3 linked regions of the Rhinolophus ferrumequinum genome follow. The protein of the gene in region 1 purifies or fractionates together with the protein of each later gene. This does not show direct contact. Links are inferred from orthologs where the notes say so. Each region holds a gene or a part of one and is shown on either strand. Other genes may lie near its edges.

What was found.
Region 2: the proteins of BTK (region 1) and BLNK purify together in Homo sapiens (affinity purification with western blotting; 5 studies listed by BioGRID and IntAct, with this or other methods). This does not show direct contact. The link is inferred for Rhinolophus ferrumequinum from reciprocal best matches to the Homo sapiens genes BTK and BLNK.
Region 3: the proteins of BTK (region 1) and ANKRD54 purify together in Homo sapiens (affinity purification with mass spectrometry; 4 studies listed by BioGRID and IntAct, counting the BioPlex papers as one, with this or other methods). This does not show direct contact. The link is inferred for Rhinolophus ferrumequinum from reciprocal best matches to the Homo sapiens genes BTK and ANKRD54.

Annotation. Positions count from the first base shown.
Region 1 is NC_046284.1:53,107,063-53,117,728, reverse strand, and holds the start of BTK (tyrosine-protein kinase BTK), read right to left. Parts: upstream 4,317-10,666; 5' UTR 4,148-4,316; intron 1-4,147. UniProt on the Homo sapiens protein: Non-receptor tyrosine kinase indispensable for B lymphocyte development, differentiation and signaling. Binding of antigen to the B-cell antigen receptor (BCR) triggers signaling that ultimately leads to B-cell activation.
Region 2 is NC_046299.1:27,239,712-27,250,708, forward strand, and holds the start of BLNK (B-cell linker protein), read left to right. Parts: upstream 1-6,945; 5' UTR 6,946-7,163; coding exon 7,164-7,210; intron 7,211-10,997. UniProt on the Homo sapiens protein: Functions as a central linker protein, downstream of the B-cell receptor (BCR), bridging the SYK kinase to a multitude of signaling pathways and regulating biological outcomes of B-cell function and development.
Region 3 is NC_046293.1:9,099,642-9,110,787, forward strand, and holds the start of ANKRD54 (ankyrin repeat domain-containing protein 54), read left to right. Parts: upstream 1-6,391; 5' UTR 6,392-6,843; coding exon 6,844-7,177; intron 7,178-8,587; coding exon 8,588-8,635; intron 8,636-11,146. UniProt on the Homo sapiens protein: Plays an important role in regulating intracellular signaling events associated with erythroid terminal differentiation.

The sequences.
Region 1 (10,666 bases):
GGTTGTTTTATAAATTAGTTGTAATTTTGATGTGGCTGTGAGAGAAGGTAAACACAGTGTTTACCTACTATGCCATCTTGGTTGTCTCTCTGCCAAGAACATTCTTGTACATGTGATCATAGTTTTCCACTCTCAGAATGAATTCTCAGTTATTGAGACAAAGTGGCAAACCCACGTCTGGCTTATCTGTTGGACTAGACACTTTGTGCTATCCCTTGTTCCCTCCTCAGTCCTTATCTTCCTGGTGCTTTACTAAGCAATCTGATAGAATTATCAACTGTCTCCAATTGGAGTATAACTGATGGACTAAATTTGGCCTACCAAAAATCTCTTCTCAGCCATAAGAAGCATCTCTCAGGTTCTGATTGAGATTTTGATTGAGAATGCCCTGGCCCTGGAAGCAGAAGAGAAGTCTTCTTTAAAACATCATTACCATAGCAACAAAGAAACTTAATTGTTCTTGTTGAGTTCCAAGAAGCTCTATTCAGGCTCCAGTGAGACATAATTATTTGATGATAATCTTCAGGGTCAGTGCTGCAGGTAAACCAATTTGTGGCGAAGACTTCCAGCCAAAATCACTTTTCTGGCTGCATGCTAACCAGAGAAATTCTCATCTGCTGTAGTCGTTTCCAAGAGATTTGAGGGCTATGGTTCTTTTTCAGTATTTCATATTGTTAACATTTTATATTTTCTTCTGTGGTTCTAGAAACTTCTAGGTCTCTGGGATTCATCATCTCTTCTACCCTGTACTGGAGACAGTAGATTCTGGCCAAGTGATGATGCAAGGAGAGCCAGATAACCAATCCTCAAGTTTACACTCAGCATCAGATTGGTGGTAATACTTTCGGCATTGTCCCTCTGCCCTGAGGGTGACTGCTGGGGTGTATATCTTTCATTCGGGACTTGTGTTCTTCTTTGTCTTTTTTTTCTTTCAGTTTAGTTTTTTGTTTTCTCTGGTTTAAATATTTTTATTTTTTTCCTTTGATATCAAAATAACATGTTCATTGTAGAAAATGTTTTAATTACAGGAATATTAAAAAGAAAACACCAATTATAAGCTCATTATCCAGAGACATTAATATTTGGCCACATTACCTTCTTTTTTTTCTGCGCATTTTTCTTATGTTTAAGATCATATTGCACATAGTACTATTTGTAGTTTGCTTATTTTTCTTTATATTACCTATCCATGCATCTATCGATCCATCCATCCACCCATCTATCCAGCACACTCTTCCCCCCAAATATCTAAAATTTTTATTTAACATTACTTGTGATTATTTCCCCATGATATTAGGATCTCTATATATGCATCATTTACCAAGTCAAAAAGTGTGTGCATTTTGCATTTTGAAACATATTGACAAAGTAGTTTCCAGAAACATTATACCAACTTCACTCTACACAGCCATTTTTGAGAGTCTGCTTTCCCCATACTTTTAACTCTTTCTGCTCCATTTCTAATCAATTTTTTACTGTTTTTATTGCAGATGAATTTGTTTTCTCATTGAGCCAGTGATCTTGAACTCCAATATATTCCAACATCGACCTGGTCTAAAATTTAGCTTCTCTTGACTCTAGAATTTTCTTCTTCTAGGGATGAGCTACAGTGTTTCTCCGAAAATAAGACCTAGCCAGACAATCAGCTCCAATGCATCTTTTGGAGCAAAAATTAATATAAGACCCGGTCTTATTTTACTATTTTACTTTACTTATAGTAAAATAAGACCGGGTCTTATATCATATCATATCATATCATATCATATCATATCATATCATATCATATCATATCATATCATACTGGGTCTTATATTAATTTTTGCTCCAAAAACGCACTAGAGCCGATTGTCCGGCTAAGTCTTATTTTCAGGGAAACACGGTAATAGACTATTGTTCATTTCTTTTTCAGGGAGGCAAGGCAGTGAGATGAGCTTCTCGAGGTCCAAAATTAACCCTAAGGGCATCTGGGTGACGGCTCTCAGAGAGTGAGAAGGAAATTCTGAGATTAAGGCTTTCATGTTTCCAGTGCTCTCTGAACACCCTCAGTCAGTGCACATGAACCTCTACAGAAACTGAAAGTCACATGTGGCCCATTTGTTTCAGGGTCCTCAGAGGAGTTCTCTCTCCCCCTCCCCTGATGGCTTCATTTGCATAACCAAGCAACTTTAGAGTGAATTAGGTCAAGGTCTGTCTCTAGCTTCTTGCTGAGCACTACCACACTGAAAATTCTAGCTCTCCCTGATTCCCAGAAGTTAACAGTTGGATCTTGGCATCACTGGATGAAAAACAGCAGGTATCTGATGACTCTGTGGAGAACACCCAAACTGGTTTTCAAAAGCCGTATCTTCTTATACCTAAGTCACTTCCTGGTATAGGTCTAGTCCACTGAAAGGAAACTCTATAGGAAATTTGCTCTAATGGAAATAGTAAATCAGAGTAATGATATTTTAAAATTGCACCAAGACCCTAGAAGTGGATGGAAAGTTGTGCTAGTTCTCACCACAAGGAGTTTACAAAGGATTCTAAACAAACACAGCACTGACCATAAGCAACAGGAATTTGGACTTTAACACATCAGGTAGTTTAAGTAGTCTGAATATAAAATGGGTCAGAATAGAGCAGATAGGGCTAGCCCTAAGGGATACTATTTCAGTAAAATGCTTTAAGTTCCATGAGTATTTGCATTTTGTGGCTTATTTGGAGGGTGGCATTGTTTTATCAAATAACTGAGGCTCCAGAGAGGCTATAGCACCTTTGGTTCAGAGACTTGGCATGCAAAAGGAGAGAAAGAGCAGAGCTAGCACACAGAGCTGTGAGCTGTGCTAACAGCACAGAGGACAGCCCCTGAGCTGGTAGACCCCTGCCTCTGGGCTTTGCTGCTGCCCTGCCTCTGGAAATGCACAGCATGGGATAGAGACTTGGAGCTTGGAGACCCAGATGGCTGGCAACCTGGACTGGGATTCTATTTGGAGGTCCAGCAACACATCCAAGGATTTCTTGGTCAGAGCCAGAGATCCCTTTTGTTCTAAATCCCACACCATTTGCTCTAGGCAGGCCCTCTGGGGGCACTGGCAGGTCTCAGGCAGAATAAAAATAAGAGCAAACACTGAGATACTAGCACTTACTATTGCCAGGCCCTGTTTTTACCGCTTTACATATATTAACACCCTTATTGCCCCCCAACAATCCTATGGGGAAGGTAGTAGCACTAGGCAAGTAAGGGGAAGGAAAAGCGAAAAGAGCAGGGGAAGAAAGGGGCAAGAAAAATGCAATGCAATTCAACAATTATTTATTAAGTGCTGCCCCTGTTTCAGGGAATGTGGTAATGAACAAAATAAAGGAGGGAATAAAGAAAAAGGGGTACAGGCAGAGAAAGGAGGAGGAGGAGAAGGGGGGATGGAGAGGAGGAAAGGAGAAATGATGAAGACAAGAGAAAAGCCGTGCACATGGCAGGCAGGCAATGGTAATAGGGAAAACCTCAGGGGTTGACCACACAGTCTGGGCTGAGGCTGAAGCTGCTTTCTTCTGCCCCAGTCTCTTACCCACTATTACCACGGAGGCTGGTGCACACAATCCTTCCAACAAGACAGCTCAGATCTCCGTAACACGGGCCTGATGCAGCCTGAGGCAGGTTGCCTAAAGGCTGGTTTAGCAGATACCTTTCCCCGGCTCTCAAAGGTCAACGGCCTATTGCAGTGTGGGAGCTTTCACCATTTTCTCAGACAATCTACCCCTTAGAATTTCTTCTTCCAAGGACCTCAATGACACAAGTACACATTTGGGGTCTTCAAGCAATATTTGAACAAAGCCTTATTTTTATCCTATTGCCACCGACAATATTACTTTTCAGCAAACTTTTTCACAGGCGCCCCTTTCCAACATTTGTTACCTGTTCAGATGTTCACCTCATGTCACTTTTTGCTCTTCCGGTTTCCCCCACAACCGTCCTCAGAAAGAACCCTAACAGCCTGTTCTGATCATCGGTGGGGACTGCCAGGGGACCTTGTGCTGATGATACTCCCAGCCTCAGTCATCCTCCTCCATCAGCCAACTACATGGCAGCAGCCATGCCTTCTCTCTGGCCTTCAGGATTCCCACAAAAGATATTTGCTGCTGCTGCCCAGCCCCTGCCGTGCCGCAGACCCACCTTAGTCCTGACTTAGTGCAGGTAGCTTCCCAGATGCATTGAGATGCCAGGACTTTGAAGGTGGGACTCGATCTCAGAAGACACTGGCCCTGGAGACATATTCTTACAGTCCAGAGAGGAAGGACAGTCTGAGCAAACCCCACCCTTTCACAGCCACTCAGTTCCCTTTTTTCGTTTCCTGACTTAAACCAATGCCTTTTTTTTCTTCTTCTCAGCAGCATGGTATCTGGTTCCCTGCTGCTGTCCCTATTCTAACCACCCCCTCCCAGTTGTCTCCGCCCTTCATTTGCTTGGGACCTCTGACACTACTGTCTTGAGTCCTCTCTGAAAGAACCCTTCTCAACATTACTGGGGCCACTGAAGCTCTAGATGGGGCTGGGTTGAGCACATGGGTCATCAGGCAAACTTCCTCAAGGTAAAGGGACAACATGCTTAAAGGACTGTGGGAATGGTCAGCAGAGGTAGTGGAGACTTACCGGAAGGAGGAGAAATGCAGACCCCACAAAGACAAAACAAAGGGACTAAAGAGGAAGAGAGCCTTTAGAGTCTCATGTCCTCTAAGGCCAAAGAGACTCAGGGTCACACAGTTAAACTTGACACTGAAGGATGGAGAGTGCTTATGAAGGGACCCCAAAGTACGGAGCCTGACAGGAGAGACAAGACTTCCCCCTGCTGAGTCATTTTCAAAGAAAGCATTTTTTCTACAGATAAAAATGTCCAAATGTAAGACCACAAAAAGACTTGTGACCTTCCCTATTTTCTGTGGATGTTGATTTTCTCCATTAAAGATTCTGCTGCAGAGATTAACTCCTAATTTACACTTTTCACATTAATCCTGTAAAGCAATAAACCAGACTAGGTGTGTTACTTAAAGCCTGAATATTTCCTCAGCTATCTCTGCTATGTTCCAGCAGCAGTCTTCTCCCTGAGGATTCTCCTAGGAAATTCAACCAGTACTGGCTGCAGACAGGATGGCAGCAGAGCCCCTGGTGACCGATCTGCTTGCCCACCTTGACACATCAGGCACTGCCATGTTTACTTGCCCCAGGTGCTGTATCCTAATATAGAAACAGATCACAGATCTCACTAGAAGTCCATAAGAATTTTTAAGGCAACAGGACTTTTTAAAAAAAGCATTTGTAGAGTGGTTAATCCTCACATCTGCACAAGATAGACGGGTGGCAAGTGTTGTACGATCTTCCTATTTTATTGATAATTTATATCCTTTCAACTAGTCACCTCTTAACAGCGTCTCCAGTCACCTGCCTGAGAGTTGGTCACAGACATTTGCCTTTATTCCCCTTTTCTTCAGATTCTACTTGTTGTCACATGCCCTATCCCTTCTCAAGGTGCATCTTGGGGTGGAGACGGGGAAATAACGGGCATAAAATGGGGAGGCTGGACAAGGGAGAGCAGGGCAAGGAAAAGGGGAAAGTAAACCTAGGTGCTTTTTCACCTTCTGCCCATGAGTACTCCCTTAACACACTTGGCTAGATGGACAGAAGGACTGCATCCAAATAGTGCAAATAAATGGCCTAGTGTCACCTCAAGAAATTCCCAGTATAATATAAGGTTCTGTGCTTGGTGCTATCTTGTTCAACATTTTTATTAATGACCTTGGAGGAAACTATAGAAAGTAGCCTAGCCAATCAGTGAACGGCACAAGGCTGTTGTGAGCTAGATGGGGATGACAGAACCAGAGCAAACAGTTTCCCAACAGATCTTGATCACCTGGTGTGACAAGCCAAAGTCAACAAAATGTATTTTACCAGGGCTAAGGGTCATGTCCCATAATTGGGCACTGACATTGAACTTCAAATGACTCCAGGTGAAAGTGAGGTAGTAGTAGCATTTGTGGAAATGTTTCAGAGGTTTTTGCTGATAGTAATCAAGAGAAATGTCATGTCAGTAACATGGCAGCCAGAAAATATAAAGTGATATTAGATTTCCTTGCAGAAGTAAAATATCTAGGCATAGGAATGTGAACAGGCCACCTACTCTGCAGGACCAGGCTATATATAGAGTCCTGTGTTCAGTTCTGAGTGGCTCACCCTAGGGGAAATTAATGGGCAGGAGCTTGTCCAAAACAGATACCAGGATTGGTGAAGGGAATCGAAACCAAAGCCATGTCACATGAGATGTCATAGGAAGAACTAAGGTTGATTAGACTAAGAGGGACCATGTTCGCTGTCTTCATATTTCCATGTTACTAACATCTAAAACCTCTAGAAACTCCTCAAAGGCCAGTGTGAGTGACGCTGCCTAAGAGCCCGGAGAGAAGAAAATGCTGTGAGACTACAGGCTAGTTGTTTGGCAAAGAAAACTTTTAAGAAATGTAACAAGTAGTGGTAATGTTTTTATTATCTCATTCCCAGAGACCATCTAACAAAAAGGGGATGATCAGAGAGTCAGCTCAGGACCCATGGGTGCTCCTGGAGGGCTATGCAAGCAGGAGACCACAGGCTCTCATTGTTCCTTGGCCCTTAATTCACTGGCAGCTCCTCCTACACCTCTGCCCAATTCTCTCTCCTCATCCTTCTCCACCCTGCAAATGCCCTTGCTTCCTCGGTGTGATGTTGTGGTTAAGTGCAAGGCTATAGTGTTAGACTACCTGGGATCAAATTCCAGCTCCACAAAATAACCATCTGTGTGACTTTGGGTAAGCAAATTAATGCCTCTTGTGCCTCTGTTTCTCAACCTGTTAAATACTAATAATGGTATACGCTGCCTGGATTGTTAGGATTAAAAGAGGTAGTATATAAGGTGGTTAGGAAAATGCCTGGTATATAATAAGTGTTCAATAATTGTTACCTATTATAGTTAACAGGCCACAATTGTCATGTTGTATAACGGTAAGAGAACCCAGGCTCTGGATTCAGATCACCTGTGTTTGTATATTGGCTCCACTAAATACTGTCAACATTGGGCAAATTTTTAAAATAGCTTGCAGCCTCAATGTCCTCATCTGTAAAATGGGAATAATAGTATCACCTACCTCCTGGAATTACTGTGAGAATTTTATGAGACAATCCATTTTAAGTGCTCAGTACCCTGAAGTCTTTCTCTGCTGGACTCTTTTGAAACCTAGCAATGCCTTCTGCCAGCTGTCAATGAAAAAACATCCAAACATATAGAAAAGTTTTTTTTTTTTTAATTAAAGTTTATTGGGGTGACAATTGTTAGTAAAGTCACATAGATTTCGGGCGTACAATTCCATAATACATCATCTATATCTCACATTATGTGCTCACCACCCAGAGTCAGTTTTCCTTCCTTCATCATATATTTGACGCCCCCAGAAGTTTACCCTCTTCTAGGACCCCCCACCCCTTTATCCTCTGGTAACCACTAAACTATTGTCTATGTCTGTGAGTTCTTGTTTCTTCATTTGTTTGTCTTGTTCTTTTGTTGTTTTCAGTTTTATATACCATATATCAGTAACAGACTTTTTCTGTCTGACTTATTTCGTCTTATAAGAGTTTATTTGAGCCAAAATTTTGAGGACACGCCCGGAAACAAAAATCTCAACAGACTGAGAAAATGCTCTGGAGAACGGCAGTTTTGCATTTCCCTTTTTTTTTTAAAAATTAAAGTTTATTGGGGTGACAATTGTTAGTAAAGTTACATAGATTTCAGGTGTACAATTCTGTGCATTTCCTTTTATGCATTTAGAATCAAAAGGAAAAACGTAAGGGAGGCACATGAAAGCCATTGGTGGTAGTTTAAAGACGCGGGAGAAAGCAAAATGGGGAAATCTCTAGGATTGGATAAAAAGCAAAATGGAGAAACACATACTTCTTTTACATTGGTGGGTACAGGATAGTTAATTAACACTGACAGCACATAGAGGTGGTATGCAGAGAACAAGATAACAACCAAGGATTCTGTGCTCTCATGCTCTGGTGGTGGGTCTTGTGCTCTGGTGTCTGCTGTTGTGCCTTCGAGGAGTCTATAAGAGAAAATTACTCAGACATTTCAGAAGTATGTTATCCTAGATGCATAAGAACGATGGACAAGGCTCACTTAACGTGAAGATTGACCTTTGCTGAGGAAGCTATAGGCCTGGGGCGAGACTACCTACCGTGACCTGCCCAGACCTTTCTGTGTGGTTACTTTTGATCACCGAGTTTGTAAGGAGCTTGTCAGGTTTAGTATTTGGCTCCTTTTTTGTTCATACAGGTATCCAGGGAAGGGAAGCATGGCTGGATACTTCCTGTATCTTGACCTGATTGCAGCAGCTGAACAATTTCATTCTCATTTTTCAGAACCTAGGGCAGCCAACTAGTTCCCTCAACAAAAAGGGGCTGCTTTAATGCTGATCATTGTTCCTTTTTTACAAAGTACTTAGTCTGTAATTATACATTATGAGCATGATTATTTGATTATTGTGCCCAACACAGAATACGCATTCAATATGCATTTGCTGAGTGGACCAACTGGCTATGTGATAGATGGACTAGAGCACTGGCTCCTTCCAAGTCTTCAGTGAACCAGCAGTTCCTGCAAAAGATGTTCCCAGTGTCCTTGAGGTGGAACAGGAATGGAACATGCAGGTGGTGGGCCCCTCCACTTGCCTCTAGTCCTGCCTTCCATCGGGGACGGGGAGAGGGAGGCCAGAGGGTCTGCAAGAGCACTGCTTCCTTCACTTAATGCTGCACTGAATCAGCGTCTGCCAAAAGTGATGAAGCGAGGAAAAGTCGCAAAGCTAGGGGGAGGGAGGAAGTCCCAGAGAATGTGCTAGCCTCGGCAGAGCCCTTCCTTAAGCTCCCGTCCCCAGCTCCGAATCGAGTCCTCTCAGCTGCCAGAGGGCGCTGCGCACAGAGGTTTAGACTCTATGGTTGCTCCCACTGACTCCCATGACATGAAGAAGGGCGACCAGGAACCGCCTACATACTTCCGTTTCCAGCCCGGCCTCTTTCTTTCCGCGCGGATAGCGCTCTCACAAACATGGTAGGTCTTGGGGTGGGAATGCGGTACCATCCAGTTTAATCTCCGCCCCCCGCCCCCAGGTCAACGGTGCCATCCGGGATGGGTCCGGGCCCCTGTGCGGATTCGTTATACCAAAGAAACCCAGTGTTGATGGGATCGACCCCGAAGGGACCGGGCTTCGGGGCCAGGAATTGAAGTGGTTGGATCAAAGAGGTAGACTTAGTGAGTGGTGGTGTGGATATGCTCTCCTAACACTTTAGGGCTCGTCGGACGCAGCTGTACTTGAAGCACATAGGGCTGGACCACCTAGTCTGCGTTGTGTCTTAGCGAGGATTTTGAGAGTCGAGTCCTCGTGGACTGCCTTAGCGTCAGCTGGGTCGGAGTTGTGCCTTTGGCATCTGATAACACCACGTTCTGAACTGTTTATTAGGTGAACGTTCCTAAAACCCGCCGGACTTTCTGTAAGAAGTGTGGCAAGCACCAGCCCCACAAAGTGACACAGTACAAGAAAGGCAAGGATTCTCTGTATGCACAGGGTAAGTCTACGTGATTGGGTTTGAATGTGACATTTGTATAGTACATACGAGCTCAGACGCCCCCATCCCGCCTCTTGGGCATTGATATTTCTGCTGGAAACCTCAAGATAAAACCCCTAAGAAGGATTTTCCACGTGGCTGTTGTGATTTATTATCTTTGGTATATCGTAACAAATAATTTTCATTCTCCCAGGAAAGCGGCGTTATGACAGGAAACAGAGTGGTTATGGTGGGCAGACTAAGCCAATTTTCCGCAAAAAGGTGAGTAGTAATTACTGTTTGATGTGCTTCCCACTGACTGGTAAAGACCTTGCATTTGTTGCTAGCCCACACACCTCTACGATAAAGATACATGTTTTCATAGTTTCAGAGAAGTTATCTTCAGTCACCTGCAGTGACATACCTAGTAGGCAGTGGAGCGGGAAGTACAACCCAGGTCTGACTGTAGTCTACAACACTGCCCCATCACAGTGTTTTATGTTTTTTGTCCTTTCCTTTTTGAAGAGGCAAACATGTCCCCTTCCTTTCTAAGGACTGAAGTTTGAGTATACCAGCAAATCCTTTCCTTTGCCCTGTTCCTATCTCCTCATATCCTAGTGAATCCTCAGCTCTTGCTTGCAGTAAGAATTGTTCTTATTTTGCTTCTCAGCTCAGCCTGCAATCGGTTATCTACCTCATGAAGTCATAAAGCTCTTTAAAATTGCCATTTAGGCCTTCTACTGGTGGCCTGAACTCTTGTCATTCTCTGGCTGAATGTGTTTTTACCCCGGGCTATTTGGCTACTTCTTAAAGTAAGTACACAGTGCCGGGACAGCATTCCCAGGACCATAGAATTTCTTTAGGCACTTTGCTCTTCCGTTAGCCTGGTTCCAGAAGGTACCAAGGAATGACTTTAGTGTTCATTTAGGTGCAATAAATGATTTGATCTCAAAGTGATAAAAGGAATGCTTGCTTGCCTTTTCACATTCAGTTAATCTGTTGAGAAGATGGGAAGCTTCTAGCTAGGTTTTGGATTTTTTGAGAGCTGTAAATTAGCAGCGGTAGAATTCTGACT
Region 2 (10,997 bases), on another chromosome or scaffold:
CCAAGGTTTTTTCTTTGATTTTATATTTGTATTTTTCCTCTTGTACTAAAAAATTTTAGTTTCTACTAATATTAACATATTTATTAACTTTATCTACAATATATAAAAATCATTTCAAAATCATAATAGATATTTTATTACTAAAAATAGAAATGCTGAGTGGAGTTTGGATTTCTTTGCAGTTATTTTCATTCTTAGAATATATTTCACTGAGGATGCAATGAAAACTGTTCAAAAGTCAAAATAATTCTCTTCTCTGGGCTATGTTACCATTTACATTCATTTGTTTCTGTTTACTTTTACTCTAAAGTTGCTTTTTTAAAATTTTTGCCTTAATTTTGTTTTTAGGCTATGTCAAACCATTACCTAGTTTAAAAGTCAAAATTCCATGAAAAGGCAGATCACTTCTGCTCTATTTCCAGCTCACTTCTGCCTCCCACAAATGGCTATTTTTATTCATTTCTGATTTATCCTTTTAGTGTTGATGTTTGTTTTTGCAATAATGTGTGTGTGTAAACTTCCTCTATCTTCTTGTTTTTTAAAAAAATAGCTTATACTGTCCTGACCATGTCTATTCCACTTAACATATCCTGGAGATCACGACTTTTTTATGCCTGCATAGAACTCTGCTACAAGGATGGATCAAAATTTATTCAACCAGTCCCCCAATGATAGGCATGGAGGTTTTTACAATCTTTTATGATTGCAAGTAAAACTGCAATAAATAACTGTGTGCAGATGTCACATGTGTGTGTTATGTGAAAGTGTATCTTTAGGATAGGGTCCTAGAAGTGAGATTGCTGGGTTACAAGGTAAATTCTTGTATTTTGTTAGGTATTGATAATCCCCCCCACCCCCATGAAGAATGTAACATGTTGTAATCAAAGGGTGCCTATTTTCTAAGCACACCCTATCATCAGAATTTTAGATTTTTGCTAATTCGGTATGTGAGATATATATGTTTTTCGGCATAGTTATAATCTTTCCCTTAATAGGAGGGTGGTTGAGCATCTTTTCATCCATGTAAAGTCCTCTTGTCTTTCATGGTCTTGTTTTTTACCCACTTTTTATTTAGGTTTTTGTTTTTCCCATCTTAATTTTTGGAGCTCTTTATCTACTAGGGAGATTAGCCTTTTATCTGTGATATATGATGCAACCCTTTACTCTCAATTTGTCCTTTGTCTTTTGATGTTGTTTACATTTTTTGCCATGAAAAAGTTCTTTATGTTTTTCTAGTTAAATTTGTCAATATTTTCTTTGATTACGTCTGGATTTTAAGTCATAAATAAGGTTATGAAGAAATTAATTGTGTTTTCTTCTGGTACAGGGACGGCTTCATTTTTACATTTAGATCTCTGATCCATTGAGCGTTTTCTGGTTAATGGTTTGAGGTATGAATCTAACTTTTATCTTTTTCCCAGGGGCTTTGCAATTGCCCTGCGATTGAAAAGTTCATCTTTCCCTCATCAGGTATGGTACATCCATAACATTTAATCCTTGTTTTCTTCCATTTCTTTCTGCACTTTCTCTTTAGTTCCATTGGTCTGTCAGAAATACCACGCTGTTTTTATTAGAGAAGCTTCATAGGGTGCTTTAACCTTGAGAGGGCAAATCTCTTTCCACTCTTTTCAGGAGTTCCTTATTTCTTTCTAGAGAGGAGCTTTAGAATCGACTTGTCTCTGTCATGGGAGGAGGGGAAGGTCTGTTTGCTATTTTAATTTGGCATCACATTCAACTTTCACCTTATATTGGACATCGTCGTGATATTGATCCAAGAACATGAAATAGCTACCCGTTTGCTCAAGTCTGTTTTCGTTTGGGGGCCTTTTGAATTTGGATGGACTGCCTGGGTAGGAAGACTAGGAGACTAGTCAACTCCACCAGATAAACGGTGACAGGAAATTATAATTAACTTCCACGGCATCTGTAATTGAGGACTTCTGGCCTGCATGACCTCCACCCCTGGAAGCCATGAGCCTTCTCTCAGTTCTCCACATCTCTGACACTCCCGTTCCTTGGTCAGAGAGCTCTGCCTTTCTGCTCTTGCATGCTCTCTGGCTTCATCGTGGCCCTGATTATTGGGGACAACTCAGCCTGCTGATTGTCTAGGACCCCATGCATCTACCTCCCACCCTCTTTCTGGATGGCTGTATCTGTCTGGTGGCTGGGCTGTGTGACTAATGAGGAGAAAAGGGTGTTTGAGAACCAGGCTGACCAAAGGGATGGTGGGAATTAGTGAGGAATAAGACGGATCCTCAGGGTGAGACTCAGTTACAGAACAGCATGAGTGACAGTCATACTTGGTTCTAGAAGAAAGGAAAAGCCTCTGAAATCCTTAAGAAGACACAGTAGCTGAGAATATGGCCTGAGAATGAGAATGGAGGTGGATCTAACTACAGAAAAGCAGCAGGAGGCTGAGCAGTGATCCAGGTGAGGGCTGAGGCTGGAGTAAGAGCGAGGTGAAGGTGGAAATACTACAAAGGAGAATCTTGTTGGTAGTTGGCTCTGAGGGCTGAAGAGAAGGGAGGAGGTGAACATCACACACAGACCAGGAGTTGTCTGTCCCAACAATAGGCTATTGTAATGTTCTTGCAGGCCACGGTCTTGGACTGACACTCTGAGTAAAGGCTGTTTTCTTCTAAGCTATTCTCCTAATAATACAGATGTTGCACTCCAGGCCAATTTGACATATAGAATATTGACTTTACTGACTAGATAAAATAGGGAACTGATTTGTCTCACAGAAAGTGAAGCCTTGGGCTTTAAAGAGCCTTTGCCCATTTGCTCATCACAGATGTGTTCTCTTCTTCCTTCTTTCTCCTTTCCTGCCCCTAATCTCCCCACAAAGGTGGAGAACAAACAGACCGCTACCCGCATCCGCCGTACTTCCTTTTCTTTCTCTGCCTTTCCCTGGCCTCTTCTGCTGTTTTTTCCACTGGCTTACCCAGGCTCCTTAGCTTCCCCCCAAACCTTCCTCCACTTGGGCCCTTAATTGGCACTGGCCAGTTAATCGGGCATGGGTCTGCCCAACAGCAAGCTCCTGCTGTATGTGTCAGAAAGCTGCCAGGGCCACTGTGCCTGCAGCACACCCCTAACCCCCTACCCCCAAGAAAGAGGGCTATCACGAGAGGAATAGAGAGTGAACGGTGTGGGGATTAAGAGCCCTGGCTCAGGGGTCAGGAAGGCTGGATGGCCTTAGGTAGGTTATGTCACCTTTTTTGAGGTTCAGGCTTCACATCCCAAAATGGGAATGATAATAATACCCCCTCATAGAGTTGTTGTGAGGCTGCCCATCATGGGAGTAGGTTATGGTTAGAACCATACTGCATAGTACTGATGCCACACTTTGCCTACTTTCTTTGGCAGTTTACCTAAACCAGACCTGGCAAGGGAAAAGCCATCAGCAAGGGGGTAGCAGAGCACAGAGGGTAAACCATGGCTGATTTCCCAGTTCTGGTGAGGGCTTGGACTACTTCTAAGGCTCTGTAAACTGCTACAACCACCTAGCCCCACTTTGTGACGCAATCTCATATAGGCAATCAGAGGCTTCTCTTCTGGAAACTGTAAGAGTGTTTCTGCTGGTGGAATCCCATTTCTGTGCACATGGGGCAGTGTCCAGATGCCAAGTCAGAAGGAGCCTGAGCCCTCCTTGAATCTCCTTTCCTGTCCTCTAAAGGTGAGAAATTGATGTCAGGGAGACTAAGTGATTCCCCCAAGGTTATGATTAGGTCGGCGCCTTGATGCCAGGACAGGGCCCTCTGCTAACTCACAGATCTCCCTTGCAAATGGTAAAGCCCAGTGACTAGCAGCACACACTAGGAAAACAGGCTTGGGGTTGAATCCCAGCTCTTCCATTGTTGAGTAGCCTAACTTTGGGCCAGTTACTTAACCTCTTTATGAATCAGTGTCTTCACACATGTAAAATGTCATCATAGTACACGGACATGGAAAGCATTCAATAAGCATGTTGTTGTTTGTTGTCATCAATAGATGCAAGGAAAAGAGCCCAAGAGAAATCAGGGCGGGTTGGGTTTCATCCCCAAGCTCCAGTATAATCTGTCTTCTCGTTCTCACTCCTCATCATCTCACAGAACTAACTGAGACTTAGGCAGGCTGTCTTGCCTTTGCACCATAATTCTAGACCAGGTCTTCTTTTATTTGTTTTTGTTAAATATTTAATATCTACAGTAGGTACCTATATATTCACCACTTAAGAAATAGGACACAACCATTGCCTTTGAAACCCTATGTGCCTCTCTACTCCAATCCCACGCCGATAGCCATTCTCTTGAATTTTACACTTACCATTTCCTCCCTTGGGTTGACCATATATGTATGTGTCCTAAATAATATATCAGTTAATTTTGCCTTAATATAACTGGAATCATGCTATATGGTCTTGCCTTCATTGCTGAAATTATGTGTGTTATTTATCCATCCCGATGCAATTGTAGTTCATTCATTTTCACTGTTGAATAATACTCCATTGCATGAATATGCCACAACTAATTTATTCATTCTCCTGTTGACGGGAAATTGGGTTATTCCAATGCTGTTTTATTTCCTATTAGAAATGGTGCTTTAGTGACAATTCTTGTACATGAACTTGGTGTACACGGTATATTCTTCGTGCTCTGTTACCTTTATGACCCATGTGGATCGCAGGTATGTGTGTCATTGCACCTACTTTATTTTTATCAGCAGTGTACAGGAGTTCTCAATTTTCTCTAAGGTTGGGATTATCCATTTTTCATCTGTTAATCTAATGATTAATTACGCCCACTGTACTGTGCAGATCGAGACTGAGTTGTTTATCGTGGTACATTTTTCTCCATGTGCTACAGAAACCATGTTATGTGGTCTCAGGCCTTTTACAAGTATCAGTTAAGACTTGATGTCCTGTTTGCACTGACCTTGGGAACCTACTTACACCTGTAGCGCAGTTGTGGCAGCATGGAACATTATGGTTGTCATGCTACAGACCACATGGGGCAAAATGTCCAGTCTGGACAAGCAGACTCTCATTTTTATCATGTCAGACTAAATACAGTAAAAAGAAGAAATACAAGTGGCTGTAAAAAGAAAAAGCAGAAGTGTGACTCTTGCCCCTGATCTGTTTCTCTGGGGAATAAGAAGTTGCCAGCACAGGTGCTGAGCCGAGTTGTTGGTGGAGAGAAAAGTCAAGTGGCCGAGGGGGTGTACTTTACAATAATTCAGAAGGAATGAGCTGATTATCATCATTCCATCCCAGTGAAGCCTGATTGTCCTGATTTTTGATGACATTCTATGTGCCTTCATCATCCTGGACTACTAGTTTCAGTTAAAAATTATGGGAAGGGGATGGGCCGAGGTGTAGAGTTCCTTCGGGGTACAATGCAAGAAAAGTGAGCTGCTTGCTTGGGGGAAATAAATGATTGGAGGAGGCAAGCACTTGCATTTTTCTCATGAAAATTATCTGCTCTCTTATTGGCCTGGCCACCCCTCAGTAGCTCTGAGGATTCTGCTCCTGAACGTCTGGTCGAGCTAGAAATTCAGAGGCAGTACATGAATGTGAACAGTCAAGATTTACCTGGAGAAGTACAGAACCTCTGTTTGTACAAAGGAGCGACACAGGAGGGATGAAATCCATTTACTGCTTCCACCTCTGCCGTTGCTGCTGCTGCCTCTCTCCTCCCTTCTCCTTCTCCTCCGCCTCTTTCTCCTCCTCTTCCTTTAGCTCTTCTCCCTCTTCCCCTTGTATGTTCAGCCAGACTTTGGGTCTGTAACAGGAGAGGTACCTGGGAGCCCTCCACTTTGTCCTTTCTATATATTCTTCAGACTCTGGACAGGACTGGTCACCTGGAATAACGTAGAAGAGTACCCCAATTTCACAAAGGTGAACAGGCATTCCTGCTGGCTACAGGGAAGTGTGTCCAGGCATAGAAGGAACGGTCCCTCTCATTTCCTTCTTCCCTGACTCTAAACTGCCTTCTGACCTCTAAATGACAGACAAATGGGAGATTTTCAGAATAGGTCAAGGGAGCAGTCAAGTCTTCCAGGAGGGAAGTGGGCCGTTCTGAATGGGTCAGCCCTACAGGTGTGCTTCCCTCCTCCCTGCTGCTCGCCTGACCTGCAGTACTTAGGATGCCCTTACTGCCCCCATGTCTGCATGTAGCGGTGTCTGGGAAGAGATGAAAGTGAGCAGCGGAAGAGGGCAGGTGGGGACAAAGGCAGTGAGGAGCGTGGCATCCTGCTTTTCAAGGGACTTCCAAATGGCCCGATGTCAGAATTGCATTGTTAGGAGACTGTCAGATTTGTTCTCAGCTGACTTTTGGGTACCTCCTGGTTTTGTTTGCAAACATCTGGCTCTCAGCACAACTCCTGAGTCCACTGACCTGACAAGGATTACACATAACACACGTCTTATGATACAGATCGTCTCCTCTTTTTCAGATCACTCATCTGTCTCTACCTTGCCTAGAGAACTGTCCATCCCATTTTAGATAGATTGTCAGGAAAAGAAAACTAATTCTCTGAGTAGACTATTACTGCTGTGTCACTGCCACCTGATATTTATTTAAAAACATTTGGGTGGGGGGTGGAAGGGATGAACAGAACAATATAAAAATGCCAGTTTCATATCATGGTTCTTCAAGTGGAAAAGTTTATCCATGACGTGACGCAAATGAGCATAAAGTTGCAAAGAAACCTTCTGATGGAAATGACTATTCTGCTTTTCCTTGAGCCCAGGAAGCTGCTGGGGACAGCATGACACCTGCTGAAAACACAACTATATGTGTTTGAGACAACAGGAAGTAGTGACCAGTCAGAGCTTGCCCTGACCTGGTTAAAAATCTGGTTATAAAAGAAAGCAGCTGGAAAGAAATTTGCATGTCCAATAGGTTTCACTATTAGAGTTTACACAATGTGGAGTAATCAGCCAAGCTGGCTGGCTACCCGGGTCACATGATTATGTAGAAACATGAAACTTGACTATGTGCTCGAGCAAGTTTTACTTCTCCCTGGTGCCAGGGTGTTTGCCAGCAGCCTGCACTCTCGGAGATCAGACTCCAGTGATTGGGGATCCTTGAGATCAAAGGCTTACCATGCTACCCCCTAGCAGGGCCAGGGACTGCTGACGTTACCACTGGACGGTTATCTGTGGCTCATTATTACCAAAAAGAATGGACAAGCTTAATAAATTAACTGTTCCTGCCAGTCAGAAGTTGAGGTAAGATTGTCCCCATCCAATACTTCTTCTTCGCTTTTTCCAGTGATCTTACTGCATCTCAGAAATACTGAAATCCTGGAATGCTTTACTAGTTCTAAGGCAGAGGGTGGCAACTACTATGGGGAAGTAGATGACATTTTTAAAGAAATATGTAGGAACAAGTAGGCTTATTTTAGCAGGCTTTTGCCAGAGACAAAGTGTAAAGCTCTGGAGGGAGAATAAAAAAGAGAGGCCAAAGGTCAGCTTTCAGAGTCTGAATACAACCACCTTTTTTAAGGAAGGGTTTGCCTAAGCTGAGTCCTCAACCATTTCATTGTGGATTGCTTTGTAATGTGAAAGATTGTTATAATCAGGTGTATTCATTATAGTTTTACTGTCTCTTATTTATTTTGTGGGTATATATCAAGTGTTTTGGGGGAGATTAGATCTGTTTTTTCCCATGTCTTCATGTCAGTGTAACAATTATCTATAAAAATCCACTTAGAAAGAATAAACCAGAAATGACCCCAGGGCGGGCAAGAATCAAGAAACTTCTTTGATCTATAGAAACGAAGAGTTCCAAAATTTTGATTTTGAAATTCTTCTTTGTGTTTCATGGTTTTTGGAAACTGGAATTTTTTAATGTTCAATGACTGGTTTGTATTTCAACTACTGCTTGAGCTTCAGTTTTTCATGGGGTGACGTGTCACATGTGGCAAGTTACCACAGATATTAGGAGCCAGAGAATTCGAGCTTTTGAGACAAAATTTAAGAGCAAGTAGTCTGGAATTGGCAGAGACGCAGCCCTTCACAGTGAGACTATGGGTCTTAACACCTGGTAGGTGCTCGGTAAATGGTGACATGAACTGCTGCCCTGGAATCGGCACGAGCACAGGACACAGTCAGCCATTTTGAGGGCACGCTCTTGGCTGCTGCTGTGTGGTCTGCACAGGCAAGGACAAGAAGGTATCGCAGTCTTGCCCTTGGTCTCAAGTTGCTGCACCTCCTAGGAGGGGGTTAGGTAAAACCAGACAAGTAGTAAGTGACTAAATGAGTGTAAGCTAGGAATTGGAGGAGCTGGAGGTTTCAAGGAGAAGATGCTTCAAGAGCTTTAGGATTTGGGAGGCTGGGGGCATGAAAGGAGGTGTAGAAGTGGAAGGGAAGTATTATGTGCTAGGAGGGAGGAAATGCAAAGCTGACACTTGGAGCTGACATTTAGACGGTCCATGTGAGGGATGAGGAAGAGAGTTTCCTATCCAACGGAGACCGGAGAGTAGGGCATGTGGGACCAGGCGGTCCTGACAAGGTTGGATGCGTAGGGTAGCGCCCAATTACAGAGGACAGGGAGGGCTCTCACCACAGAGAGCTGGAAAATGGTTTACACTGTTAGAGATGTCCTGCCAACACGCTTATGGGAGGTTGGCAGGGTGGGCTGAAGGGGGATGGAGACTGGAAGCAAGGAAACCCAGTAGGAGGGGGACAGTTAAGTAACCCAAGCATCTAGTGTTGCAGGTCTGGACTTGGGGCACAGCAGTGAGAGGGGAAAGGACAGAGAGGCAGGAAAGACATGCCAAAGAAACTACTAAGGAATAGATATCAGGGCTTCTCTCCTATGAGCAAGAGGGTTTTGAAAGATATGTTCCATAACCTGGAGCTATCCTAAGGCTTACAACCTCTTTCAGAAACTCTAGATGAGAATTTGAAAAAAGGCAATAGAACCTAAATCACTTTATGATCCCTCCCTTTCGGACAAAGTCCAGCTTGATCATGTAACAGTTGATAGACAATATACAACCATGGATTACAGGGTAGAAAACCAAAATTATATTGTGGATAATCATACACTCCACTCATCTGTTTAGGCAGAAATAACTTTTTTTTCCACTTGGTTATTCAGTTGTCTGTTCAGAATTGGCCTGTTTTGGTAAAATGTACACTGTCAGCGTGGACATTTTCAAAGAAATGAAATTGTAAACACAATGGACTTGAAGCACCATCTTAAATCTTTTCTGTAATTAGATGGGATAGTGAGAAATAGATAAATAAAATACTTGATCCCTGTGGTTTATATCCTGTCCTGACTAGTAACACCAATACAAAAGGTTGCCTAACTGCAATTATTTGGCACCAGATGACAATATAAATGAAGAGCTGTGTTTATACGCTTAGGTTTATCAAAGTTTATGTGAGAATTTGCTTAAATTCTTAGCCACAAAAATAGAGAGATAGTAAGTGTCCATCAAGGGAGTCTAAAAGGGATGACCCTGATCTAGGCAATATATTTCCAGGGCTGAAAAGAAACTAGAGGCAGAAGGAGTGACCAGGAGTGCAGGAAAAGCAGAATCAACCAAGGAAAGGAGAACAGGCAGGATTGGAGGGAAACAAGGGATTCTCAAAATGAAGGAGAAAAAGAAGGTTCCCAGATGGACGCAGCTGGGGATAAGAATTTGCCCTGAGAGTTTCTGCTGTGGAAGAATTGAGAAAGGCGAGGTGGCTAAATTGCATGTGACCACAGAAATGTGTGAGCACAGAGTCTCGTTTTTCTTTTCTTGTGTTTTTTTTTGGTTTGTTTTTTTTAACCATTGAAGTACTACATGAAGGAATCCATAAACTCTCAAGATCTTTTAGTTAATTCTTAACTATGGTTTTCCCTGGATTTTATAAGATAACATTATCATCAGAAACCCAGCTAAAACCTGGTTTCTCAATCCTTTCACAGTAAACATTCCTAGGATCCTAAAAAGTTTACACTTCTAGGTAAATATTTCAAAATTTACAATCCTGAATCACATGAACTATATTCTTTTTAAGTGAGTGAAACTTTGAAATTTTATATTTTTATGTTTTTAATAACCTCTCAATTGACTCTCATCTGTGCTCACGTCTTTTTCTTTGTAGCACCTATAAACACACTCACTTTTATACATGCAAAGGCTCGTTGAGTGTGGTGAAACCAAGTCACCCCAATCCTTATCTTATTGGTTAAAGTGATGCTTTTCAGTCCAACTAACATATGTGTAATTTTAGGAAAGTTTACTTAATCTCCTTGGTCTCAGTTTCTTCAGCTGGTAAGAAAGAGGTAATAACAGGACCTGATCTTATCGGGCTGTTGTAAGGATTAAATCAGTCATTCTATGAAGCATTGACACATAGTGATTCTGGCAAACAGTAATTATTGAATTTAAAAATGGTAGTTCTCAATATCAATATTGTTATTCTTATTAATTCTATAGGTGTGCAATTGATTTTCTGAACATAAACACAGGACTTTACATTGATCCTTGATAAATTTCATGTTAGTTTTCAGTTCTTCTTTCTGGCTATTTTGGCTATTTTACCTGTCGATACTGACACCTGCGGCATTTAGCTTTGCATGGATTGTAGTCGTGACAAATATCCCTTCTCTGCCTTAATTTAAGTGGCTAATAAAACTGTTGAGCCTGACAGAGCTCTGGCGTGGGTATCTGAATCTCACTGCTAGTGGAGAATTTAAAGAAAGAAAGGCAGTAGAACCTAAATCATTTTATGATCTTATTTAACAGATTCTGGGATACGACTGCTCAGGTCTTGGAATCCTCACTTGGAATTTCCAGTTAGCTGACTTTTCAATTCCTCAGAAACAAATTTACCTTCTTTTCACCTGTCCGCCACTAGCTCCCTCTCCGGTCCTCCCTGTTTCTGTTAACGGTATCATGGTATCATCATCAGCCCAGAGTCTGATTCATCCTCCTCTCTGGACCTCCACTCACCAAGCACACCCTGTAGTCTTTCTTTTATGATGCTTCCATATATGTCCCTTTCTTTACTG
Region 3 (11,146 bases), on another chromosome or scaffold:
CTCCGTATCCTCTTGTTACAAAGGCCTCCTTGCTTTTCCCAGCGAAGCACAGTCCTCGGAATTTTTCCATTCACAGTTACCTGGTCTGGATTCTAGAATGCAGTCCTCCCAGATATCAGCAGGGCTCACTCCGTCACCTGCTGTTGTTTGTGACTCCCGCCACTCAGAGAATCCTATTTAGAATTGCAACTCCACCCTGGCGAACTTCCTGCTCAGGTTTTTGCTTTGTGTTCCCTCTGCACTTCACCAAGAGGTGGTAACATCACGGAACTAAAGCTTCATCTTTAGGGCCCCTCCATTCCCTGGGACTCTTCTATGGATCCAGGAGGATGCCCAACAATTTGCTCCCATGAGCCTATGTTTTTGTAAAATTTGCAAAATACTATCTGTACTGCAATCACTTAAAACCCGCTTTCTTACGATTTCCCCTTGTGTTTAGAGGCATTTGGGATCCAGGTAGAGGAAATCCAGTTGGGAACATTTGAGTTTAGTAGGATATATCTATGTGATACCCTTCCGTGTATAGTTAAGTTATTGCTGGCCTTCTGTGTGTAAGGTATACCTACCAAACACTGTCGTCAGTGAGTGTCCTCAAGGAAAGGAGTATGTAAGGTTAATCAGGGAACTAGAAAGCTTGAAATCATCTGAAATCTTACAGTTCCTATAGAACAAAAATTTGATACAGGTTGCTCCCAACTCTGATAACAATTCACAAAATGACCATGATATTACTAAAAAGGAATTGTTAAGTCAGAAGTTTTTCTAAATTATCAATAATAAAAAACTCAGATCTAATTAATATGCTAGAGGTAAGACTAAATTATCTCTCCATTCTTGTTATGGAAAATGTCACAAAATTGTTGTCATATAAAGAGGTAATCAAAGCATATTCAGCCTAAAAGAGAAAAAAATAGTGTGGCGGTGTTTAAGAAAATTAGCAAATATGTTTCTTTCCTGGATTTTGTGATGTTTATGCTATTTGTCAGCTTTTAAAAATTACAAATTTGTAATTGCATAATTTCTTCCGTAATTTGTGTTGTAATTCTTTGTTCTAAATAAATATTGTCTTTCCTACCTAGTTTTGGTTTTGTAATTGTCTATTCTTCATGTAAGCTTCAGTCACCTGAAACTCAGACCAGCTTGTTTATAACCATCTAACATACATTTTATTTGTTTACTTATGACTTTCTACCTCTTCCAGAATGTGCACTCTAACTTAGAGAATAGTAAAGACTCTGAGAGAAACTTCCTCCCTGGCTACTCTTTCTCCCTTTCCTCTGTTGATTTCTTATCTCTCCAGTCACTAAATGGTGGCCTGCCCCTTCTCTCTGGATTTGGTCTCTTTTCTACCTTCACTCCCAGGTGGCTTATCCAGCCCAATAGGTTTAAATATTATCCATATGTTGTTGACTCCCTACATATTTATCTCCACCCCAGACCCCACCCCTGAAGTGGGCTCAGTGGCCCGTGTGAGTACCTACCTGGATGTTTAATAGTCACCTCAAACTTAACACGCCCAAACTAAGCTTCTCTGATTTCCTGCCTCAACCTTGTTCCTTCCACAGTTTTCCCATCTTAGATAAGGGCAACTTCATTCTTTCATATGCTCAGGCCAAAGCCTTCAGAACCACCATTGACTTGACTCTCTCACACCACATGTTTGAACCATCTGCATTTTTTTGGCTCTACCTTCCAAATATTCCAGACTGTCTATTCACCATGTTCTATCATTCTTGTCCCAGCCTCCATCATGTCATTGTTACTGTAATAGCTACCTTACTCTTCCTGCTTCCAATTCTCAATCCATATTTGTAGAATTGCATTTGAATTCAAACACTCCATTACTTGGCAGCACATTAAGTCCGCATAGAAATGCAACTTTGATATGGAAGCAGCTGGAACCCCATTACAGACTGTGAAGTTTCCGATCATAGGGTGTTTGATTTTGCAAGGCTCCCTTGCTAATGGAAAAGCAGTACTTCAAAGGGAATGAATCTGCGGACGGACCAAAGCTCGTGGAATTTTACCTGGGAGAGTTGTTAAGAGAATTGAGCAGCTGAAAACCTGCCATGATTCTCTTGATCTTCTTTTGCCTGGGATTTGAGACAGGAAATTCTCTGACTCAGAAAAATCGTTAGTTATGTTTTACAGTCTGCCTGGGCTCTTCAGCTGGGTTCCTTTCAACCTCCATTTTCCAAGAACCTTGTATTTGTTTATAATTCACTTACTGTCTTGTTTATTTCATTCTCCTGAGCATGCTCTCACAAGCCCCTGCCCCACCCCCTTTACTGCAGTAATATGTGAGCCGTAGGAGAGCAGTAACTCAGTTTACAAATCGGGACTAGAAACATCCTTAAGGGTTGGTTTTCTGGTACAGGAGTTCACTAGATAGAAAACAAAACAGTGAAGTGGCAGGCTTTTTCCTGATTGCATGCTAAGTTGTATCCCTTCTTTCACCACAGACATTGAAGACTATTTATTGTTCTTGCCCACAAGTAAATATTCACTTACTTTTCTGAAAACACAGGGCCCTCTCTCTATAGCCTAAAAGAACAATTCTCAAATTGTTAAAAACATAATTGTCATATTCTATATCTTGATTGGAGTGATTTTTACATGAGTGTATACATTTGTCAAAAATCATCAACCTTGTACACTTAAAATGGGGATTTTACTGTATGTAATTTATACCTCGATAAATCTGATTTTAATATTATAAGTCAATGACAAATAACTAACCAAAAAATGTGGAACTTACATGATGACAAAAGATTAATACCCTTAAGAAATTAAAAACATAATTCTCATACCAATAAACACAGCTTATTTAATTGTTAATGAAAGAACCAACAATATGACAGCTGATTTGAAAACAATTTGAGAACAGTTACTGGGCAAAGGAATGCTGAAATATGATTAAGTTAAAGCCAAACTTCTTTCATGCCCTGCAGTGTAATAAAATAGTAACCTTTGGGGTTGGGGTTGGTTATCTTCTCCATTGGACATACAAAAATGATTGCACCTTATCAGTTTCCTACAAGTTAACCTCTAACTTTACAGAATTATAAAACATCACTGTGTCCTAATCGATTGTTAGTCAAAGTTAAATTTCCCCAGAGTCAGATGTCCCTCACGTGGGTTTATTAGAAATTCTCTAGCATGATATTAAAAAGTCACACAATCAACACATGTCATATTTTCAGATACTAGATAATTTCCCTCCACACGTTTTTATTATTCCACATTTGATACAGACAAGATGTATAATAATTTCCTATTAAATCTACCTAAGAAAACAATACGACAAGTATGACAATAAATGGCACTTGCCTTTAGGTAGGTAACAGATAGTGGCGGGGACCGTGACACACCAGAACACCATGCCCCATCCCAAGGGAAAAGTTGCTATGCAGCTCCAGCCAACTGTTGCCCTGTGGGAGAGCTGGTCCTGTATTGCCATATCTGTCCATTTTTAGGAGAATCTGGAAGTAGAAAGTTTTATGTGAAAGCTGTCAATATTTACATGTTGGCAATCCGTTCAAATTGCTCTAAAATACTGTGAAGGCCAACAGAATGCGGGAAGAATGTAAAGAAAACCAACTTACTGAATCTGGTCTGAGTCAATGTCATTATCTGACCTAGAATAATACCTTCTTATGGGAAAACAGGCCCAAAGAAAGGAAACACTTACCTCCAAATCACAAGGTGAGTTTGGCGTGGGCAGAACTTAGAACCCAGGTCCCTGGATTCCCAGGCTTTTCCCACGAGGTAAACATTATAGATATTTTCTTTGTCTCCCACTAAGTGTTTCATGTTTTATGTGCTGACTGATGAAATATAAATGGCTGTGTATGAATGCTTACAGTACCCTTAGGTCAAGTTCAAGCCAGTGTAATGTGCCCACTGTTGTGTAGGATTTGCGTGGGCCTTAGCCTGCATCCTACCCTTATTTATACTAATAACAATAGCTACCATGTTTTGAGCCTACTTCTGTGCCAAGCTCTGTGCTAGGTACTTTACTTATGTCATATCATTTAGTCCTTTGATAACCGCATGATATAGGTATTACTGTTACCTCCATTTTGCAGATGAGGAAACTGAAGCTCAGAAAGATAAAGTCACTAACTCAAAACCATGGCCCCACATACTTATGGCTCCAAAGTTGATAGTCTTAACCACTGGGCTAGACTATCTTTAATCATTCATTCATTTGTTCATTCAATCAGTCAGTCAGTCAGTCAGTCAGTTAGTCAAATATCTACAATGTGCTGGTGCCAGTTGCCGGGCCAGGCGTTATGGGGTAATACAACTCCGTAGACCCGAGTTCCAGTCTAAAACATTGAGGCTGAGGCTAACTGGGTCCACATTCAACCCACATCCTATTCTTCTAACTCAAAATAACAAGTGGTTCTTGAAACACACAAAGTTGGTTTAAAAATTATATGTAACAACCACCTCTAGATGTTTAGGGAGCCTGTTCAAATTAAAAATTTGTGACAATGCGAACATACTAGTAGACCAGATTTCTTGAAAACCAGACCCCCTGGTAGGAGGAAGACAATGTTCTTGACTGCTAGAATAAAGGGTTTGGACTTTTCTTTAGCTCAATGGGCAGGCAGTTCCTAGAGATGTGAAGAAAATTGTCCTTTGGGCAGCACGTGCACCTTGGATTCTACAGAGACTGGAGGGATAAAGACTAATTTGGAGGTTATTACACGGGGGAAAAAAGAAGGAATGAATAGTAGTCACTTCAGGGTACATTCAGCAGGAGTGAGGTATAAATGTCCCTTAAACTCTCCGTAGCCAGGTTTCCAGTATGCTCTTCGTTGAAGACAGCAGTGTGATGGAAAGAGAGGACTTTTCTGAGTTCAAATCCCAGTTCTTCAATTTTCTACCCCTATATCATTGGACAATAGATGTAACATCTCAGGACTTCAATTTCTTTATTTGCAAAAGGGGGTATAATAATATCTACCTTCTAAGGCTCTTGTGAGAGAGAACTACATGGTATAGTATATATCAAGCACTCAGCAAATGGTACATGTTCAATATTTTATTTCTTTTCTCTGTTTCCTTCTACTACAAATAGAGTTGGCATATGTCCTTATAGGTTATGGGTCAAAGAAGTTCAAATAACATTTTTCTCCATACAGTACAGTGGTAAGGTAAACCTCACAATGCTGTTCTGAGAGCACTACAAATTCTGAAAGTGCTTTTCACTGTCAGAGAAAGATTACATTTTAACTGGGTTGAACGAGAGGGAAGAACACAAGCCCTCATCCCAAGAGAGCTGAGTTTTCATGAACAAGTCCCTTATCTCTCTGGTTTCAGCTCCTCATCTGTAAAATAGAGATGGTCCTCCTTGCCCACCTTATAGAAGTTTTTGTGGAGTATGTCCAACAAACTCAAAAAAAGACTGGAGGCTTTAGCAGGAAATAAATGATTTTTTCAAGGGTCTTAGAGTTTGCAAACTTAGAACAGAGCTAGGCAAAAACCCAGAAGTGTTCCAAAGAAGAAAGAAAAGTTAAGAGTTCTTAGAGTAAAAAGTACATTCTTGAGAATTATAATTTATGCATTCTTAGTCCTAGGATTGATTGGTATAGAAAGGTTATCAGTCAGAGGTCAGGCAGTCTGGATGATGGATGTCAGGTGGTCTGGTTATGTGAGTCCTTGTGTGTGTGTGTGTGGGGGGGGGGTGGGTGGGTGGTGGATAATCAATCAGAGGGTTATCTGGAGGTCTGGTGTATGTCCAGATGTATAACCAGTCATTGACACGGGACTGGAAAGTTTAAAAAGTTGTTACCAAGCTAGTTAGAACAAGAATAGTGTCTTTCTTCAAGCCTCAACCTTCACAATGTTAATAATTTTTAGCAGCTTGGTTAAAGTGACTTCATTTTATATATTCCTTCTTTCCTCAGGTACAGGGTTGTGAACATTCTTACAAAACAGTGCACCCAGTTGCACTGTTGCTGAGCTCATCGTTATCTGCTTGCGGAATATTTCTCTGTTTCCGGCTCTGACTTCTCCCATAGGACTGTGAACATCTCAGCGGGAATGAAGTCTGATCCTACGTCCAGAACTTAATACAGAGAATTACCTGGCTCAGTGACTGGCTCTCGGACTGAAGCATCGCTCTGGTGTAACTACGTTGAATTAAAATGCTTTGTATATCAGTGATCAACTCCGGGGTTACCGAGAGAACCCTGAATAAAGGGATCTATCGCATTTAGAAGCTATTACTTCTCGGTTAGTGGTGATAGCCCCAGATTTTAACGTATTATCATTTTCCTACTTAGACTATGCAATTGTGGAAAGTTCTTTTTTTTACGTTCATTGATTTAAAATATATCCATATTTATCTTTCCCTACAGTTTGTCTTCTTGACGTTCCTTTTTGAGTGGCTGCAGATCATCTTAATGTGATTGGTTAAAGCATCTGCCCGTTACCTTTCCCATGGACCGACGGAGGAAATGGAAAAAAAAAAAGGAGAGTCTTAAATTCAGCTGTTTAATTGGCTCCGGTGTAGGGACGTATGGCGGAGCCGTGGACACTTCAAATTTATGACTGGTTCTTGTGTCCGTCAGTCACGCAGCCGGAAACCAATTCTATTGCAGGAACTATACCCGGTTGGCGGGAGGGAGGGGTGGTTAGGCCGGAAGGGTTTTCATTGGTTCGGAACCCTTCCGCTCGCGACCGGAGCCCGCCCCTCTCTCGGTTGCCGTGGTTGCAGGCTGGGGCCCGCCCGCTCACCCGCTGACAGCGAGGCTTAGGGTGGAGGGAAGCGGGTCGGTTGGTCGGTCGGGAACGAGGCTTCCGCGGTCTGGCCCGCGCAGAGTTGTTGCCATGGCAGCCGCAGCCGGGGGCGCGGACAACGAGCCGCGCTCTGGCCGCTCGAGCTCCGACGGCGAGTGCGCGGTGGCGCCGGAGCCGCTGACTGGCCCCGAGGGCCTCTTCTCCTTCGCCGATTTCGGGTCTGCGCTGGGCGGCGGCGCGGACCTCCCGGGCCTCCCGGGCCGGGCGTCCGGCGGGGCCCAGTCCCCTCTGCGCTACCTCCATGTCTTGTGGCAGCAGGACTCGGAGCCCCGCGATGAGCTATGCTGTAAGATCCCCGCCACCCGGCTGAGGCGCGCCGCCAGGCCCCACCGCCGGCTTGGGCCCACCGGCAAGGAGGTGCACGGTGAGGAGCGCGCAGGAGGTGTGGCGGACTCCCCGCCAGGAATCCAGCCCCTGATCTCTCCCCAGCCCCCTCATTCTGGAGTCCTCCGACATCGGATCTAAGGGCCCAGAGTCTCCTTTCAGTAGTAATAATTATAGCGGCTAAGGACCGTGAACGTTAAAAAAGTAAATAAATAAAAAAGTAAAGTGTTCCTGCTCAGAACTAGTCACTCTAGGCCTTTCACACTTGGTAATTCCTGAATAGAAACTTGTCATGACTCTAGGTGTTTTTTAGTAGATAATACAATGGAGTACTGGGGAATACTTTTATTATCTGAGAGGGGAGGTCAGCCAAATCCTACCAATATGTTTTAATGCACAGACCTGGATTGGACTCCTCTATCTCATTTCCACCTTAGGCAAACTATACAGCCTTTCAGCCTTCGCTTTCTCACCCGTAAAATTAGTACAATACCTGCTTTACTGGGATGTTGCGAGAGTTAAGGAAGGTAATGCATGTATAGCTATTAATCTGGTTTTGTGTGCCAAATCCTGTTGCGTGATATGTGATCATTTTTAATCCTCACAATAACTCATTGAGATCCAGATACTTCCTGGTTTATGGAAGAGGAAACTGAGGCTCAGAGAAATTGCCTAGCTCCAAGTCACATAGCTAGAAAGTGCTATATTAGAACCCAGGGCTGCCAGACTCAAACTCCTACTCTGGTATGTCGACTGGATTGTCTTTTACAATTTACTGTGATTCCACCTGTATCTTAATAGTGTTATAAAGATTAAATGAGAATTTAAGAGTGCTGTATAAACCATAAAGTACTCTATGAATGTAAGGAACTGTTATGTATCTGAGTTGTCCTTTTTGAGCATTTCTCTGATGACAAAGACATTGCTTTCTATTAGCTTCTAAACTGAAGGTAGTGTCATTGTAGGAGAAAAATGTTTCTGCTTAGGAATTACCAAATTTAAGTAAGTCATTTGGGACTGGCCTGTCTTGGAGAATGTAAGATTACCTGTGTAAGTTCACAGAGAGCTTCCATGTAAACATCTCATTTTGTCTTTGCAACGACTGGGGGGTGTCAGAACAGAGCTCAACCTTGTTTTGGGGATGATGGACCTGAGGCCAGAAAGGTTAACTAACTTGCTCAAGTCACCCAGCTGCTACAAGTGACAGAACCAATATCTGGCTCCAAAGACCTTGGAGGATTTGCTACAGAATGTGGCTTTTGCACTAGCTGTGCCACGTTTCAAGTTTCTCCTTGTTCCCACGGTGGTGTCACTTGTATCCTGGCACCTTTCTTTCCCTTTAGATGTTATTGTGGCTGTGTGGTGGGTTAACTGGGAAACCATCCGCTTTCTGCTTCATCATGGCTGTTGTCGTTTTTCTTTAACTGGGACTCTCCTACTCTCTTCACAGCTCTGAAAAGGCTGAGGGACTCGGCCAATGCTAACGATGTGGAAACAGGTGAGTGTACAAAGCGGATCCAGCTCCATGGGCTAGTTAGGGAAGGAAAAATCCAGGTACCAATACCTGGGCAGATAGTGCTTGAATTCAGCTAACCTGTGGACCAGGCTCACTGTAGTCTTTGCATAACTGCAATCATCTTGCAGACGATAAATCTGGCTTAGGTGCTCACTCTTCTTCCCATGTTTCCTGTCACCCCAAACTTCCTGATGTCATGGTGTTTATCACCCTGTGGGTTCCCTGATGGTGGAGACTGTGTCTGCTTTTGTATCCCTGATACCCAGCAGCAGAGTGGGAACTTTTGGAAACTTCTGGTTAATGGGAATGAACCGTCGATTTTAGCTGCCAGGAGAGCCACCGTCTGCACAGAGCCGCCACCTTCAGCTGTTCATTGAGGCTTTTTGGGTCACCGGTTCTCAAACTTGTTTTTAAGCAGAACACCTGAAAGGCACCACTCTGTGTTTTTGTTTCTCCCTCCAGTGTTCACTAGGAGACAGGGCAGTAGCAGGATCAAAGGACAAGGACAAGTTACAGGAAAACAGTTTTAAGTTTATCCACTGACTTAATTCTTTCTGTGAATCAGGGAAAAGAGGGATATTCATTTTCTATGGCTGCTGTAACAATTAACCACAAACAACACAAATTTATTATTATGCAGTTCTGTAGGCCCGAAGTCCAACACAAGTTGCACCGGGCTGAAATGAAGGTGTCCGCAGGGCCGTATTTCTCTCCAGAGGCTCAAGGGCAGAATCTGTTTTCCCTACCTTTTCCAGCTTCCGGAGGCCACCCATATTCCTTAACTTGTCGTCTCTCTCCAGCTGCAAAGTACAATAGTGAACTGAGTTGTCACACTGCCATCTCCCTGGATCTCACCGCAGGAAAAGATTCTCTGATTTTTAAGGACTGGTGTGATTAAATTGGGCCTGAATCATCCAGGATAATCTTCCTAGTTCAAGGTCCCTAACCTTAATCACATCTGCAAAGTCCGTTTTGGGCATGTAAGGCCCAAAACATAAATAGCCATAAATTCTGGGGTTTAGGGCGTGGCATCGTTGGGGGCAGTTATTCTGCCTACCTCAAGTGGACGTCATTCTGTTTTGGTGGTGGGACCCTCCGGTTGACAGATAAAATGTGAGTATAGATTGAGAGCCATGTGATAGGAGAGCAGGCGTGGAGAGGAGATTGTTTACCTTAGGAGCTGGGGTGTCACACCATGGGCCCTGAAGTGGTTCCCTTAATCCTGGATTAGCATAGTGAGCAGTCCTGGAAACTGGGGGGCTTTTCAGCTCTCTTTACTTTGGTCTCTTTCCTGTGAACTTTAACACTTTGGAATATTTGGGCAGTAACCTAGATAGTTTTTTTAAGGAAAACAGGTAAGTGTTCTCTTTTTACTACTAGTGTGTGACCAGAGAATATTTTAATTATACTTCCCTTTCACCAAAGGTCTAATTCATCTTGAATGAGGTGTTCACATGGTAGTTTTATTATTTTGATAGAAAGGCTGTAATTTTCTATTCAGAGCCTCTAACACACCCATCTTCAAATATAAATGGCTCTTAGATTTATTAGGCTCTTGCAGGACGGTGATGGTGAAACTGGCTGTAAGATTAGCCTCTTCACTCCTTTCATGTTTAGTATTTTGTTTTCTTTTTCTGCATGCTTATTGTTTTTTTTGTATATTTTAGCAATTACTGTGGACATAAACTTTATACCCTGCTATTGTTAAATTACAAGTGCTTTTCTATGAATTCATAAATCATTTAAAATATTTTAAATATGACCTGAAACTAATAAAAAAATAAAATATTTTAAATATGGAAATAATGTATGCATTTTAAATGTTTTGGATATTAGAGAAATATACAAGAGAAACATCTATAATGTCAGCAAAGGAACAAATCTCTGTTAAAGTTTTGGTGAATATTCTTCTAGTCCTTTTTCTTATGCAGAGGAATTTTCTTTATGGGCTTGCAAACTGCCGTATACACAGTTTTGTAGCCTGCAGAATGTTTTGTGTCATAAACATTTTTATAGTCTTTATAACCATTTTTTCAAAATGGCACTGTCAGTTTTTTTCCTATTTACAGAATGTATACATGACTGTATGATTTTTTTTCTAAAGCTTATAAAGTAAAAAGCAAAAAACACTTTATAATTCCATTCCTCAATTATAACCACAATTTTTAACGGATGCAACCTATACCTTCAACAGGACAAAGCAAGAATGATTTAGTTGGTCATATATTTGCATGTTGGTTTTTCATTTTTAAGATAATTTCCCAGGTATGGATTATCCCAAGGGTATGCATATTTTGATGGCTTCTGATAGCTGTTGCTAAAGTGCTTTCCAGAAAGACTATAACTACACAAATCAGAAAGTAGAACTGGCTATTTTAGCCTATCTCTTTGATCCTAGCTATCTTTTGGTGACTGCACCAATGAACACTGAGACGGCCTGACACTTATTTCTCCTCTACTCTCATGAGCCTTTTCCTTCCTTCATTTATTCAG